Linked DNA regions of Drosophila melanogaster. The protein of the gene in region 1 interacts with the protein of each later gene in a pairwise test. Each region holds a gene or a part of one and is shown on either strand. Other genes may lie near its edges. The genes, in order: Bub1 and Kmn1.

Region 1 (12,108 bases):
TGCAAAGTATTACTTATCAAATTAGTTATCGATTTGCTGAAGGTCACTACCAGTTGGCGGCTTTTAAATCCTTAAGACATATAAGGAAATATTAATAAAAATCACATATTCAATCGTGATTGATTGAGATATGCTGCAATTAATGACTCATCAAACCAGTTGTATTGCCCCATAAAGATAGTTATTAAGCGGCCAATCGATTGATCATATTTTAGTGGGTCAATTACCGGATGCTAGATATCGTTTTTCGTTCGAGAATTTTCCTTTTTCACGTTTGTCAGCAGCAATCGGTGCACCGCATGCTTATTAAAGTTTTCCGCCAAAAAAAAAAAGTTTCTCCATCCCACTCAAGTTTCCCTCGGCGAGATGCAAAATATTTGGCGAGAAGAGAAAATAGTAGGGAAAATTCGCGAACAGATTTTATGAGGTCAAAACTCATTACAAGCGATGGCAGCGGCGGGGGGTGGGTGCTGTTGCATAGTGCACACTGTACAGTACATACACGTTAGCCCCAATTCGGCGAGTGGGAAAAAGAAAAGCTGCAGCAAGCGGCCCATGACAGTTGTTGCAGTTGCAACTTTCTAATGCGGCAACAGCGAACAGCACTGCAAACGGATGTGGATCGCGGCGACTGCAGCTCGCAACGTGGCATCAACATTATGTGTGCCATGATGCACATGCACCGCACTGCAGCCAGAAAGCAAGAAAATCGAATCGAATTTCTCCGACACTGCTTTCCACTGCAAATTACTTAACTATTTTCCCAGTTTTCGCTTTGTCGTGCAATTGGCGAACAGTTGTTGCATGTTGTTGCATATTAGCGGCTGCAACAACAGCAGCAGCAACACGGTGCGGCAGTGAAAAGTTGGTCATGACAATCAAATGGCCAACACTGCATGGCATTCGAGGGGTGAGCAGTATCGCTATCTGCCGGGGATGGGGGTCTTGGCTGGTTTTTCTGCACACACACATACTCGTACGAGTGCATGTATGTATTTTGCTGGCTTTGTGTGTGGCCACTGATGCATTCCGCCTGTTGCAACTGCCACTTAGGCGAATCTAGTAGGGTCCCCTTAGTAACCTTTGCATGCCACCATTTTGCACGACTTGCTAGCGAGGAGTTGCACTTAGTCACAGGAATGACTAACCAACCAACCGACTGGTAGTCGTTGTTCTACCCTAAATTCCCAAGGGTGACTCAGATCGGTCCTTACCACAAACGCAAGTTGTTAACGCTCCTTTGGTCGAGTCCATCGGTCATCATTGAGTGATCTTCAGTGGGGGAGAAACAAGACGTGCTTCATAAGTTACAAAATATGAGCTACTTACTAATAGAAATGGGTAATTTTTAGGTAAAGAAAATAAAAGAAGGATATTTAAAAAATATAATAGAATATGGCATTAAATGAATCTTTTAATATACATAGATTTTTTCAAGTCAACAAAAAGAGATATAGATATTATTATGAAAGTATTCTTGTAATAAGTACTATTACATTTAAGATATGAAACTATGATTTTAAGTTCGTAAATTTATTTAATTATCTAGCTAATTTTTTTTTAAATCGTATCATAATGAGATCATCGTATCATAATCATCATATCATCTTGGTTTTAAATCCTGGCTAATCCGCTTAGGCACCTGTCCAGATGGTGAAAACGCGTAGCTTGGTAACTTGATCTTAGCCAAGTTAATTGCTGGTGGGTACTTAACGAAAAGTCTCCCCACTTTTCTGGGATTAAGACTTTCCTTCGGTGGAGAGCCAAATACTGTTGGCCATCAGCTTAATTAGAAACGAGTTAAGTGTCCGCAGCTCAGCACTTAACTGATCTATTAACGAATTTCTTTCTACCCATTTCTATTGACTTTTGTTGTCATCTTGCTTTGTGTTTTTGGCTGGCATATCGGGTGATCGGAATCGGGAATAGGTATGGGTATTGGTATGGCATCCAGATGGAGATCGGTGTGCCCCAGTGATCTAATAAATGCCGCATTGTCATTCGCTTCGCTTCGCCACTCCGTTTGTCACTCAATGCCCGTGGCCCCGAAACTGGGGCACATTCATTAATTTATCGCATGCAAAACAATCCGCTGAAGTATCTAATGCTGCAGCTGACGTTGCAGTCGACACACAAAAAAATAGAAAGTTTTTCGCCAATCGCCGGCGGACTGCCTGCTGCAATTTTCTCTTTGCAATTTGATTAAATAAAATATTGTGTAAAAGCGACGCCGGCAGAGCAACTTTCCAACTGCATACTGCATACTGCATAGGCTGCAAGTTGCAGTTTCGCGCCACGACTTCTAAGTCGGTTACTAGATGCAATAATAATTGCATTTGTCCCACTTTACTTTCACTTGGCGAACGAGCAGCCAGCAACAAGCTGCAAGCTTCGAGTTTCAAGCAACTAGCAACAAAAAGCCGCAGCGCAGGCGTCGACTTTGACTTTGTGTGCCTGTTGCAGCTTTTCCAACCGTCGATGTGTGTGTGTGTTGCATGAAAAGTTGCAACTTTTTCCAGTCGCTTGGTGGAAATTGTGCGCCGTTTGGTTGACTGGCAAAAAGGAAAAGTGGGTCAAGCGCAGCATTGTTGTTGATGCTGGCGCTGCTGTTGCTGCTATTACTTGTTGCATGCCCCCACTAAATTGACAATTGCCTGCAACACACACATTATGGGTTCGCCACTTTGGCATTTGATTTATGAAACTGGGTTACCACTGCTTTCCTTTTTCGCGCTGCAATTCATATGGTTTTTGCTTTAACATTTCGTCAATTTATTCACTATTATTTAAAGATCTTTATATATTACTCAATAGTACAGCAAGCACTAATCTTAAACATATTTATGTACGATTCTTTTTTTTTTTACATTGCCTTCAATATATTGTTTTATTGTGCTGTACATAAAAAAATTACATTTAAATCCAGGGCCTTTTTTCCACAAACTCATTTCGTAAACGTTGCTTTAGATCGAGTCTGTGCCTAATATTTACAATGTTTTTGAATTTTGTAGCGTACTTTTTGCTTTCGTTTTTTTTTTTGGCATCAAAACAATAAATAAAAGGGAGTTTGTTCGCAGAAAAATAGTTTAAAATTAGAACGCGGAGTTTTTCCCGGTTTGGTTTTATCATCTTTGAAGAGGGAAAATTGTTTTAAAATAAAAACTGAAACAATATAAATGGGTGACTTGGTCAACAGAGTTATATGCAAAACAATTTAACAGAAAGGAATAGGAATAGATTGGTTATCGTCGATGCAGGATGTTGGATAGGGTGCGTATCTGCTTCTGCAGCTCGGAGTCCATGCGGTACGCCTCCTCCTCGAAGATGAGACGCATCTCATGCAGCGCTGGCAGTTTGTCCGCCTGCATGTTGAGCAGATCCCCGAAGAACTTGGTCCACACATGCTTTTTGAGGTAACGCGGCAGCTTTTGTCGTATTTCCCAGCTGGAGCCCTTCTTTTGCGGCTGCATATAGTCACCGAAGAGCATCACATGAACGGTCGCCGCGATGCAGAAGAGATCCGTTTCGTAGGACCAGCTGCGTCCCTCCTGCATCTCGATGCAGGTGAAGCCATCCGTTTGCACCACCTTCCGGAACTTGGTCTTCTCACCGTCCGGGAACAGGGTCATATCGATAGCACAGCCGAAGTCAATCAAACGTAGCGATGGCAACGGACTGTCCACATTGGGCACACGCATTAGCAGGAAGTTGTCCGGTTTAATGTCCGCATGGATGATGTGCTGGCGATGCAGGTGGTCCACGATATTGCAGATCTGTGCGGAGAAGTGCATCACCAGCGATTCGTGCATTACTTTGGTGGTTGCCTGGCGGATCTTGTTGTTGATGTCCAGCAGCGAACCGAACGGTGAGAACTCGGTGGCTATTAGACTAGCGTTTGGGGCGATGATCGCCGTGGAAATGTCCATAACGCCAGGCAACACCTCTGGCTCCTTGATGCGTTTCAGCACCTAAAACACGCAATATGTATTAACACCCAAATCTTTTTGGCAAAAAAAAACTTTAATATAAGTGGTAAATATAATTTTTCTTACCTGATCACATATGTATATCTCCCAGGTGTTTGGGGGCTTCTGATACTTGAGCGCCACTACATTGCCGGTCCGAGAATCAGTGGCTTTATAAACCGAGCCATATGAGCCGCGACCCACCTCCTTGTCGATGCTAAAGGTAACGCCTTCCAGGACGTTCAGCGTGCGAGTGTTGGATATTTTTGGCAGTGGCGTTTGGACAATCTTGTAACTGGCATGGGCATCGTGATTACCCGGAAAATCTAGCTTGGCGAGAAAAGCGCGGCACAGTTCGCTGTTGAACGGATCGATGGCCTCCTTGTCCATGTGGCGGGCTATCGTTTCAACGGCCTTCGATAGCCGACGCTCCTGGGCCTCCGTGTCGTGCTGAGTGGCGAAGTACGAGTTCTCTTGAAATGTGGAGAAATCGGCCATGGTGCTAGTGCCATTATTGTTGTTGCTGGTGTTATTGTTGTTGTTGTGAATTTGTAAGGTCTTATTGACCGGATGGAGGATCTGCTGTTGCGATGTGTCGCGGAAGTTAAGTCTATCAACAGCCAAGGCCAGCGAGCTATTTGAGTTATCCAAAGCTGTGGCACTGGAGAACGAAAAGTTTGCATTGTCATTAAATGTGCCAGGTGCTCCGGCGAGCACACTACTCGAGGCCACATCAGCCACCGAGGATGCCGAGTTGCTGTTGCTGCAGAGATCCGGCTGGAACTTGCTGCGCTTAACTTTGGTGCGTGCCCTGCGATAGCCATTCGCCTCGCTCTTCGGCGTCGAGGTCTGGCCCAGCATGTAGGGATGGAAGTGGTGGTGGCTTCCGTTGCGTTGACGCTGGATGGGAATCGGAGAAGCAGGTGCCGGGTCCGGCGAAGGATGATGTACTGCCTGCGGAGGCTGATGGATTATTTGATGCTGCTCCTGCTGCTGCTGCTGTTGTTGCTGGTAAACATTCTCTATGGTATAGGCACTGTAGGTGCTGCTGGGCTCCTTCCTGAACTTGATCTTAATCGATCGATTTTCTTGCTCGAAAGTGGTTTGCGCACTGAACTGCACGCCATTTGTGTACGGTCCGCTATGCTCCTCTTCCTCTTCATCGTCTTCCTCCTCTTCATCAGAGTCATCTTCCTCGTTCTCTTCACCACCATCCTCCTCCTCTTCTCCCTCCTCGGCGTCATTGTCCTCATCTTCCTCACCTGTATTCTCCTGACCACTGCTGGTGTTCTGCCCGTAAAGAGCTCCATCCACAGCAGTCATATAGTAAGATTTCTCAGTTTCGTAGGAATCATAAAGAGTTTGCTGTTCTTGTTCTGGCGGCTCCGATGGCTTGGCTTTTTGATCCATTAACTGCTTAAACTTGCGGGCTAGTATCTCTTCGGGACTGTACTCGACGCCTGCTCCTGGTGGATATACCAACTGCTTGGCATAGTGGCACACGCGCGAGGGATCATCAGGCTCTTCAAGCGTTAGAGCCGGCTTCCATGTCTCATGGTTGTTGCGCCCGTAGGCGTGGAAATTGCGCGGCAAGCGTAGGCCAGCCACTTCATTTGTCACCGGAGGACTTTGTTGAGGAGGTGGATTGCCGTTGCCGTTTTGTTGCTGCTGCGGCTGCTGTGCGTGCAACTGCGGTACTGTAGTTTGTTGCGGCGGCAACTGTGACTGTTGGGCTGGTGCATAATGGGACTAAAACAAAAAAGGAGTATTTATCAAGTAGCTTTGATATTAAATTTAATGCTCACCTCTGCCACAGGAGCATAATGCGATTGTTGCTGGACTTGGGATGGTGGTATTGCTGTTGGGGACTGAGTTGCAGGATGTGGTTCATAGCGCGGCCGCTCCTGGTAGTGTGTCTGATAGGGGACCTGTTGTTCTGGCGGCAGTTGCTGTTGTGGCGCCGGCTGATGAGGCTGTGGGGCTTGATGTGCCTGCGCCTGCGGATGATATTGCTGATAGACATTCTGCTGATATGGCTGGGGACGGTGTTGATTATAGCTCTGTGGCATCTGCTGCTGTGCATAGTTCGTGAGTTGCTGCAGTGCATCCTGCGGGGGATGTTGCTGGTGCTGCTGTTGTTGCTGTTGTTGCTGCTGTTGCCGCTGGTAAAAAAGAGACCTGGCATAGGCGAACTTGGTGTGGGCGTGCTGCAGCTCGGAAGTGCTCTGCGCCTTCTCCTGGAAGGCCAAGTTAAACACCGCCTCCGCATCCTTATACTCCTCGCGAGACTCGTAATAGGCAGCCCATCCAATGTAGAAGGCGGCCACCTGGCGACCAGTTCCTCGCTGAAAAAGCACCTGGTAGAAATGGAGTGGATCCGTTTGCATGGCTATGTACTTCAGCCACAGCCGCACCAAACGGACATCCTGGCGATAGTAGTCATTGTGCTCATACACCGTCAGGCAGCGCTCCAGAGTTTCGCGGTACTTTAGCTCCGGATCGCTTTGCGCGTGATTCTCGTACCAGCAGATGTAGTTGTACCAATGATCGAGTGGATCAGGACCCTGGTACAGGGATATGGCGTGCTCCCAAGCCTGCTTGTCGTTCAGGAAGCCGTGCATCTCGTCCGGGCTGGCCAGCGGCGGTGCTCCAGCTGCGACTGCTCCTGCTCCTCCTCCGGAACCCGATCCCTGGCGCATGTACGAGTGCATGGCCATCTCGGCCGGACGCGGAATCCTCTGATCCCGCTGCGCCGTAATGCAAACAAATGAATGCGAGACTGTGGTTTCTACGGGTCACCACCAAAAAGTCTCGGATTGCGGAATGTAGTGCCCCTTGCCGATTGGACTGGTTAGGGTCCACTAACTCAGTTAATCCCTCGGCGTCTTCGGCTGTCACTGGTGGCACATACACATGATTTTCAGTTGGATTTTTCAACAGTTTGCAATGCTCAAAGATATTTTGTATTTTTTCTTGCTTTTCAGCTTGCAAATGGAATTTATTAGTGCTGCCAAACAATCGATAGAACCATTGGCTGTCACTGTTGACGATGGCTATGCACAAGGTTATCGATAGTGCGATAGAAACGTGTTGTTGGGAATTTTTAAACAAAAGCAATTTTTTGTACAACTTTACTTTTTATTTATTTATTTGTTGCCAAAGTTCAATTTTATTAATAAAACTATAGGGTTCTTTGTTTTAAATTATTGTAGTTTGAATGACGCACAATATATGTGTGTGTGCTATGAAGCACTTCCTATTTGATATACTTTTTGTATAATTATAATCTATTATTGGAAAACAACATGTTAATCGGATGATTTCAATTTATGTCAAGTTTTCTACTTTAATAAGGGGTCTGGTTGGAGCTGAAGCTTTCCAAGTAAAGTTAGCGATTTATTATATGGCATTACGTTCTCCCTTGTTATCTATTTATTTTGTAATATAAATATTCAAATCCTAAACGATAGTTGTATAACGATAGGAACAATGGTCCACGATAGTGCCACCTCCGATGCAAGTTTGCTTAATGCCCTCCAGAGCGCGCCACCGTGCTCGCTATTACTGCATTATTGTTTTTTATCAACTCGCTAGAAATTACGCTATTCCCAAAAAAACCGCAAACCCGCGAGTGTTTATGTTGCGTTCCGAAGTGCATATCATAGATTAGTAGTATTAGTAACCCCTCAAACAGCCTGCTGTCCAAAAAACACGCGTGATTCCCCCGCCACCCACGCACATAGACCCCGATATTTCACTTTTCTTGTTTTCGACCCCTGACTGCGTTTGTGGATTTTCCCCCCAAGAAAAAAAAAGCGAAGTGAAAACGCAATTGAGCAGCCGATCGATTGGAACGGCAGCAAACTGAATTCCCCGGGTTACGGATAATGGAGGTATCCGCCGATCCGTACGAGCAGAAGCTCTACCAAATGTTCCGCAGCTGCGAGACGCAGTGTGGACTTCTGGACGAGAAGTCCCTGCTGAAGCTCTGCTCACTGCTGGAGCTCCGGGATCAGGGATCCGCACTGATCGCCAGCCTGGGCGGCAGCCATCAGCTGGGCGTGTCCTTTGGCCAGTTCAAGGAGGCGCTACTCAACTTCCTGGGCTCCGAGTTCGATGGTAATACGTCATCGGGTTTCATTGGTGAGATAGCACAAAGAATCGATCACGCTATAGATTAACTTATATAGTATAAAGATAATATTTGCTATAAGCTAACGCGACAGGTTCGCATAAAACAACATACGTTTTATCTGTAATTGCGCTTTAATTACCCATCAAGCAACATCAGATAATTACGGAATGTTTGCCAGCCACTTATTAGAGATAGTAATTCAATTTTGACACGGATTTGGAACCGTGTGGGTTTCCCTATTAATAAAACACTGATCTAATGAACACATTTCTAGCAGTCTATAGATGAACAAAGCCATTACTTAATACTCAAAGAAGTGCTACCATCTACGTGCTAATTTGCAAGGATTATGCACATTTACTTCAAACCTCCGCTTATCTGATTTGGAAACTTCTGGGCAAATTTAGGACACCTTAGGGTACGAATATCATAATCAGCACGCGGATTAGCACGGCGGCAGCTGGCGATCATAAAATCATAGATGCAATTGACACTTTTTTACGACTCCCAACTGTTCTCGACTACCTGATCCTGCATGATCCTTATCAGGTAGATGGTTACAATGTCCTGTATAAATACGCGACACATTCACCTGGGCAGTTTAGTCTAAATCAAAATGGGAACACGATTGTATTACCGCCGATCCGGCGGTCAGTTAACAGATCCGATAATTGAGAAGCTAGCCGCTCGTTTTGGTAGCCACCTAAGATCCATACAACTCTTCCAGTTCTCTGCTAACTTATATCTATTGAATCTTCCAGAGCGTTCACTGGTGATTACGGATGAGCCGCTAAACAACACATACATCGAGAGTCCGCCGGAGTCTTCCGATCGCGAGGTTTCACCCAAACTCGTCGTGGGCACCAAGAAATACGGTCGCCGGTCTAGGCCACAGCAGGGAATCTACGAGTTATCCGTCACGGACTCGGACAATACGGACGAGGACCAGTTGCAGCAGCAGCAAAATCAGCGAAGCCTCAACGGATGCGATGAGCTGGGAGTTCAGGTGAGTGTCGTTTGTCAAGTCACGTACGAAGTGGCGATACAACTTCTGGTTATGTATGCAAAATTGCATAGTAAACAGATTTTGTTTAATCGTTATTATTGCTGATACAGTAGAGCATGCCTAAGTAGCACTACCAAAGCAAACAAATTATCTTAAATATACATCATGATCATCATAAGCATCTTATTTTTCCAAACCACACAGGTGCAACGTTCCTCGTCCCAGAGCGATCTTCCTGGCAGCCGGCGTCTGCGGTCCGTCCACACCAGCGGGAGCAAACTGAAGCGTTGTGCTTCACTGCCAGCACGCCGGAAGATGAACAGCAACACCACGGGAGCCACTACATCACCGACGGCAGCGGCCAAGTTGAAACAGCTTTCCATCCAGAGCCAGGCGCAGCACAGCAGCAGCGTGGAATCACTGGGTAAGTTTCCTCTGGCCAGACCAGCTTTGGCTAGCCGATCCCCCTTGTCCCTGCCACCCTCTGTTGTTGTTAGCCCAAAATGCCAAAATTACGTTTGAAGCAATGTTAAAAGCAAAACACTTGTTTGTCGGTACACACCGTAGGCCATCGCCTGGCCACCAATCCCGCACCGTCGTCCGAGCACTGGAGATGCTACCACGGCGGCCGTTGGTCATGCTGCAAAGGTTTGTGCGCTCTGAAGCAATTGTCAACACCCTCACACCCACCGAATCCCCAACCCAGTCATTCGGTATCTAATCGCACCCTATGTAGCCGCACATTTGATTCGTTCTATTTACTCGTATAATCACATATCCTACATTTTCAACCCTTAGTAATGCTGTAATGCATTGACAATCAATTTAATTAAGGATTTCATATAAATCAATTTCAGTTAGAAAGGATATTTACTTATAATTTGTTCTATTTTCTTGATTTATTAGTTTCTACCTCTTAAAATAACACGCCAAAAATTTCTCATTTCGAAAAGCCATTTGATATAGAGAAATAACAAACTTTCGGCGCTTTTGCTTACACCATCGACACACACACACACCCTTCCCCACTCCCAATCCCAATCCAATCCCACACCCACCTGGTATCTTGGGCTATATGTATAATAAATGTGTATATACAACAGCGAAGCCAATCTCATTCGTCCCACGCTAATTGTTAATTGCCATGATTTACAGACACCGTGACGCCGCAGCAATTGGAGACGATCTCAGTGCATAGCATTATGGAAGCCTGGGAGCTGGCCAGCATTCCCAACACTCGCAACCTACTTCACGTCCTGGGATTCGATGAGGAGGAGGAGGTGAACCTGCAGCAGCTAACTAAGGCATTGGAGGAGGAGCTGCGGGGCATCGATGGGGATCACGAGCAATCGAATATGTTGCGCGCTCTGGCTGCTCTGCAGGCCACCGAGTTGGGCAACTACAGACTTGCCTATAGGCAGCAGCATGAGGAGAACCTCAAGCTGAGGGCCGATAATAAGGCGGCCAACCAAAGGGTGGCTTTGCTTGCCGTGGAAGTGGATGAGCGGCATGCGTCGCTGGAGGATAACTCCAAGAAGCAGGTGCAGCAGCTGGAGCAAAGACACGCCAGCATGGTGCGTGAAATAACGCTGCGGATGACTAATGACCGCGATCACTGGACCAGCATGACGGGAAAGCTGGAGGCACAGCTTAAATCGCTTGAGCAGGAGGAGATCCGTCTGAGAACGGAACTTGAACTGGTGCGCACTGAGAACACGGAGCTTGAGTCGGAGCAGCAAAAGGCTCACATCCAAATCACAGAGCTTCTCGAACAGAACATTAAGCTCAACCAGGAACTGGCCCAAACGTCGAGCAGCATTGGTGGCACCCCGGAGCACAGTCCATTGCGACCGAGAAGGCATAGCGAGGACAAGGAGGAGGAGATGCTCCAGCTAATGGAGAAGCTGGCTGCTCTTCAAATGGAGAACGCCCAGCTGCGTGACAAGACTGACGAACTGACCATCGAAATCGAGAGCTTAAATGTGGAACTAATTCGCTCGAAAACCAAGGCTAAAAAGCAAGAAAAACAGGAGAAACAAGAGGACCAGGAGTCGGCGGCCACGGCTACCAAAAGGCGTGGGGATTCGCCGAGCAAAACACATCTAACAGAGGAGAGCCCTCGCTTGGGGAAACAGCGCAAGTGCACCGAAGGAGAGCAGAGCGATGCCAGCAACAGCGGAGATTGGTTGGCTCTAAACTCCGAGCTGCAAAGAAGTCAAAGCCAGGATGAGGAGCTAACAAGCCTTAGACAGCGGGTTGCTGAGCTAGAGGAGGAACTCAAGGCTGCAAAGGAAGGCAGATCTCTCACCCCGGAAAGCCGTTCGAAGGAACTGGAGACCAGTCTAGAGCAAATGCAGCGTGCCTATGAGGATTGCGAGGACTACTGGCAAACGAAACTTAGCGAGGAGCGGCAGCTGTTTGAGAAGGAGCGACAGATCTACGAAGATGAGCAGCACGAGAGCGACAAGAAGTTCACCGAGCTGATGGAAAAGGTGCGCGAGTACGAGGAGCAGTTCAGCAAGGATGGCCGCCTCTCGCCCATTGATGAGCGCGATATGCTGGAACAGCAGTACTCGGAATTGGAGGCAGAGGCAGCCCAGCTGCGCTCGAGTTCCATTCAAATGCTCGAGGAGAAGGCTCAGGAAATCAGTTCACTGCAATCAGAGATCGAGGATTTGCGACAGAGATTGGGTGAGAGCGTTGAGATCCTCACAGGCGCCTGTGAACTCACCTCGGAGTCGGTAGCCCAACTGAGTGCCGAGGCGGGAAAAAGTCCAGCCAGCTCACCCATCAGCTACCTCTGGCTGCAGAGCACCATCCAAGAGCCAGCGAAATCGCTTGCCGATTCCAAGGATGAAGCCACCGCCAGTGCCATCGAATTGCTCGGAGGCTCACCATCGCACAAGACAGCCAGCCGGTGAGTATGAGAAGCCTCTCGGTGTGTCCTTGGTGTGAGCATCCCTGTGTCTTCCTCATAATTTGCACTGTATGTCCTGTATATA
Region 2 (4,808 bases), on another chromosome or scaffold:
ACGACCGGGAAGGGAAAAGAAGGAGCTCGAAAAACGCGAAAGCCCAAATAGAAGGCTGGGTAAACAATCACTGTTTGTTGCTGGCACGCTGGGCGTGCATTCTATACCAGTCGGGCCCTACAGGCGATTGCGAATGCGAATTAGCCCGTTTTTTCAGACGCGATGCGATGTGAAAATGCGGACAACGCCGACCGAAAAGTGTGACTGCAGGGCGAGCGGCGAAATACCATACCATATTGCGGTCGTTGTAGCAGGGTTGCCAGACTGACGTTTTTTAGCTATATCTTTTATATAAATATATCTATTAGTATTAGTTAGTAATTTAACAAATAAATTAAATGCAGCACATTAAAATCAAATTGACTCTCATAGTCAGTGAGAAAGGCCAGTACCTGTTGAATATTTTGAACTATCTTTTAGCACTTCACTTCTAGCTTCCCTCCCGCCATCTTAGCACCTCTGCGAACGCGTCAGTGGCAGTGGCAGCTGCGGCACCAGTGTTGGTTGTCAAGAGCGGTCAAGCAATCAGCTGTGTTGTGCGATCCAATTCGGGCATTAGTAGTTACGACAACAATAAATCGCAATTGAGAAGGATGAGCGAGGCCGGCACCAGCGCGGATGCAGTGGCCGCCGAGAAGGAGCGCAAGTTCCGCATCCAGGGTAGGTGGTTCTCCAAACACATACAGACACACGCATATATATCAGCCAGCAACTGACTGAAGTACAACTCCATTTCATCCTCCTTTCTAGCCGCCGCCTTTCTGGGTTTGGTGGGCGGGGTGTCCGCTCTGTTCGGCTTCTCGCGCACGCTGGCCACCGCCAAGAAGACGGATAGCAAGGTCCTCCAGCAGGCTGGAACGCGGCAAGGCATGATCCTGATGGACGAGGGCGCCACCCTGGCCCTGCGGGCGCTGGGCTGGGGCACACTGTACGCCGTGATGGGCACCGGCGCCTTCTGCTACGGCTTCTGGAAGCTATCCGGAGCCAAGGATGTGAGCATGCCTCCGATTTGTTCAATGAATTTCGCTTTAAATCTTTCGTTTCGTTCGCAGTTCCAGGAGTTCCGCCTCAAGATGGGCAATGCACTGCCAAGAATCACCAAGGACGAACCACCAGCCAGCCGCACCGATTTCGAGAGTCTCACGGACCTCATGAAATACCTGGCAGCCTGGAACAAGGAATAAGCAGCTCACAAATATACACACAATTTAAAGTAGACCTAACGCCTGAGTAGACCAGAACATAAAACGAAACCTTTGTTAACTTCAGTTTACATACAGACAATGTTTTCAAGACGTTTGATCGGTTTTCATTTCTTTCGGTCAGACTTAAAGGCAGCCATCATCAGAAGTGCAACTTAGGGAGTTACATATTAGGGTAGAAATAAATACAGTATAATTCGCTTAGCTGCATCGATAGTTAGCTGCATCGGCAAGATATCTGCATTATTTTTCCATTTTTTTGTGTGAATAGAAAATAGAAAATAGAAAAAAAAAAATTAAGTTAGCTGCATTTTTAAGTTACCTGCATCGAGGCATTGTGCAAAGTACTCGAGGCAGCTAAGCGAATTATACTGTATAAGCCAAAAGCAAACCGTCTTACAATCTCTGAGTCTTAATTTAATTTATCAATATCTACAATTCACATATGTATATTTATGCATAGCTTAGGGTCACCGTTGGTTGGCCATATTCTGGTGTATAGCGTTGTTGATCATGGTGTTCCGCATGAATAGGTAGTGATCGTCCATATTGCACTGCAGCTCCATCATGTCCTCGTGCTCCGCCTGAAATCGGATGGCCGCGTTTGTGAAAGCCAACGAGCTTCGCACGAAGTTTTGCAAATTGGGTCCCTGATCTAGGTAACGCTGCTGCTCCTTGTTTGGCTTGAAGCTAACCTTGCGATTGTCCGTGTCCAGTGCCGCATGCATTACAAAGTCGAAGAACTTTTGCTGCTCCTTCTGGGCGCGCTCCTTGTACTGCTGCACCTCGTCCTCCTGACAGCTAGGATCCCAGACTGAAAGTCTGTACGTTAAGTAAATGGCAATTTAATTAACCACAAGGATTGCACTTACTATCGTCCAGGTCAATGTTAAACAAAGTGCTTGCTTCATAGCGACGCGGTTTCAAAGTGGCCTCCAGTTGGGCCGGCACGTCCTTGAGATCGATGTCGGAGAGATCACCGCTCGATAGATCGACGGCACTCGTGTTGCCCACGTATTCCAGTACGTCACTGCGGCGTACGAATTTCATTAATTTTTCTGGACTTTCGGCTGGCTCCATCGCGTCGCTTCGTTTGTTTTCAGTTTTTAAATCCGTAAACGCTTGCCAACACCCATCGCTGATCCAGTGATGCCACATCTTTTGAACGTAATTCGCTCTGGCTCTTTTCAAGCCAAAACCTTTTATACAAATTAAAATATACGATATAAAAAATTGCACTTTTAATATTAATAAAAAGATATATACTCATTGAAAAAAAGCTGAACTAAAAAAGGGGAAAAGGGTTATAGGGCATAAGTCATTTTATGAATGCTAAGCAGGCCTTGCGTTTAGAATCACATTTCAATTTATTGTATTTGTTCAAGTAGTCAAACCAAATGAACAAAATCGAGAACCGAATACACAGCTATATATATACTTTCTCAAAATCCAAAATTTTAAGATTATCCAAAATTTCCAAATAATGATTTATGCGATCGTGATACACATACTGTCCCTTCTGGTGGGCTGTTTCTATCCAGCATTCGCGTCCTACAAGATCCTGAAAAGTCAGAATTGTAGCGTCAATGATCTTCGCGGATGGTTAATCTACTGGATTGCCTATGGAGTTTATGTGGCCTTTGATTATTTCACAGCGGGTCTGCTGGCATTTATTCCATTGCTAAGTGAGTTCAAGGTGCTTCTCCTGTTCTGGATGTTGCCCTCTGTGGGCGGCGGCAGTGAGGTGATCTACGAGGAGTTCCTGCGATCCTTTAGCTGTAACGAATCCTTCGACCAGGTCCTGGGACGTATCACCTTGGAATGGGGCGAATTGGTGTGGCAACAAGTTTGCTCCGTTCTTAGCCATTTGATGGTTTTGGCAGATCGCTATCTCCTGCCCAGCGGTCATCGTCCTGCCCTCCAAATAACGCCCAGCATCGAGGATCTGGTCAACGATGCCATAGCCAAAAGGCAGTTGGAAGAGAAGCGGAAACAGATGGGTAACTTATCTGATACCATCAACGAGGTTTTGGGAGAAAATATCGATTTAAATATGGATCTGCTGCACGGATCCGAATCTGATTTATTGGTTATTAAGGAGCCTATTTCCAAGCCCAAGGAGAGACCAATACCGCCGCCGAAGCCAATGCGTCAGCCATCATCAAGCAACCAGCAAGAAATGAATCTTTCGTCGCAGTTTATGTGACATCAATTGATATCCTCAATATGTCAGGCGGAAGTTGTCAAAGTTCAGAGCTTTCAAAAAGCATACATCTCAGAAATAAACTAACCTTACCGCAATAAAGTTTATACAAAAAAAGCATTTAAATTGATTAATTTTAGTCACAAAATATTGAACCAATGTGTTGGTTATCTTCTTAGCTATTTTTTCTAGCCTATTTTCTTGTGTTTGCACAATCAGTCGCGGAGGTCTCTTTTCGCGGTCCGGTAACGCTCACATAACAAAACTCAGCAACGAATCAAAAACAGCTGCATTTAACGCGATTCGACTCGGGATTTGTGTCCTTCCTTTTATGAGATGATATGCCGACTCTGCCTGGAGGATGCTGAGCACGGGGTGCCCATTTTCGGCCAGGAACCGCCAATGGGACAACCGGCACATCGCCAGCTGGCCGAGCTGATCGAGCGACATCTGCTGCTGGTGGTGAGTGGATTTGGACTTTTCTACCCCAAAAAGATGTTTTTTTCTAATGATTGAATTGTTCGCTTTCAGTTGGCGGAAAACGACGTGGTGTCCACGTGCCTGTGCAACCGCTGCTGGCGGCAGCTGGCCGAGATCGAGCAATTCTGTTCCATGGTAGCGGAGAAGCAGCGGTCGCTGCACCGCTCCTTGCAGCTGAAAACTGAATTGCCGGAGCTGCCCGAACTGACGGAGCCGGAGCCCGCCCTGGTCGTGTGGAACACGGAGTCGCCAATCGAGCCAAAGCTCAGCTATGAGGGCGATGACATCAAGGATCACATACTGTGCGAACCCGTCATCGACGCCTTGTCCGCGGGCGATGAAAAAGACAGTGACTATGGCGACACCTTTGAACCGGACTTCGAGCCGGAATCGCAGCCAGATGAAGAAGAAGAACCGGAGCCGGATCCGGTAAAACCGCGCCCCAGGGGCAGGCCGCGCAAAACTGCGCTGCAGCAAACGCATCAAATCATCAAAAGGAAGTACGAGAAGCGCAAACAGCAGAACAAGGCCAAGATCACAGAGTTATCATTACGGGAATCAAGAGCCCGGCAAAGGGAACTTAAACGCAGCAGTGCTGGAGCAGAGGATGATCAGGATGGCGACGAAGACGAGGAGGACGAAGAAGATGTCGGGGGCGAGCTAACACCAGATGCCGACGAACAGCCAAAGCCGCGCGGCAAACGTGGCCGACCCAAGACCAAGAAACTGGTAACCGCCGACGATAATGATGATACCTCGGAGGTGCCCGTCAAGCGCAGCAGCATCAAGGAAATGGACGACTATATAGCCGCCAATGTTAAGCTCGACTGCGCCATTTGCGCCGCCCCGCTGGAAGACTTCAACGATCTCAAGCGCCACTTTCGCGTGGAGCACGACTGCACTGGCTATGTGAAGTGCTGCAA

The links.
Region 2: the proteins of Bub1 (region 1) and Kmn1 interact in a two-hybrid assay, tested with the Drosophila melanogaster proteins (one study listed by BioGRID).

Annotation. Positions count from the first base shown.
Region 1 is NT_033779.5:5,273,934-5,286,041, reverse strand, and holds Bub1 (Bub1 kinase), read right to left. Parts: upstream 6,990-12,108; 5' UTR 6,683-6,989; coding exon 5,771-6,682; intron 5,715-5,770; coding exon 4,053-5,714; intron 3,969-4,052; coding exon 3,243-3,968; 3' UTR 2,759-3,242; downstream 1-2,758. Other genes in the region: Nin (ninein), read left to right, coding at 7,853-8,108, 8,862-9,106, 9,311-9,530, 9,674-9,754, 10,262-12,023.
Region 2 is NC_004354.4:11,570,117-11,574,924, forward strand, and holds Kmn1 (kinetochore Mis12-Ndc80 network component 1), read right to left. Parts: upstream 2,327-4,808; 5' UTR 2,283-2,326; coding exon 2,075-2,282; intron 2,017-2,074; coding exon 1,673-2,016; 3' UTR 1,267-1,672; downstream 1-1,266. Other genes in the region: CG11699 (uncharacterized protein), read left to right, coding at 594-660, 751-992, 1,053-1,184; Reepl1 (receptor accessory protein like 1), read left to right, coding at 2,686-3,408; CG11696 (uncharacterized protein), read left to right, coding at 3,742-3,867, 3,937-4,808.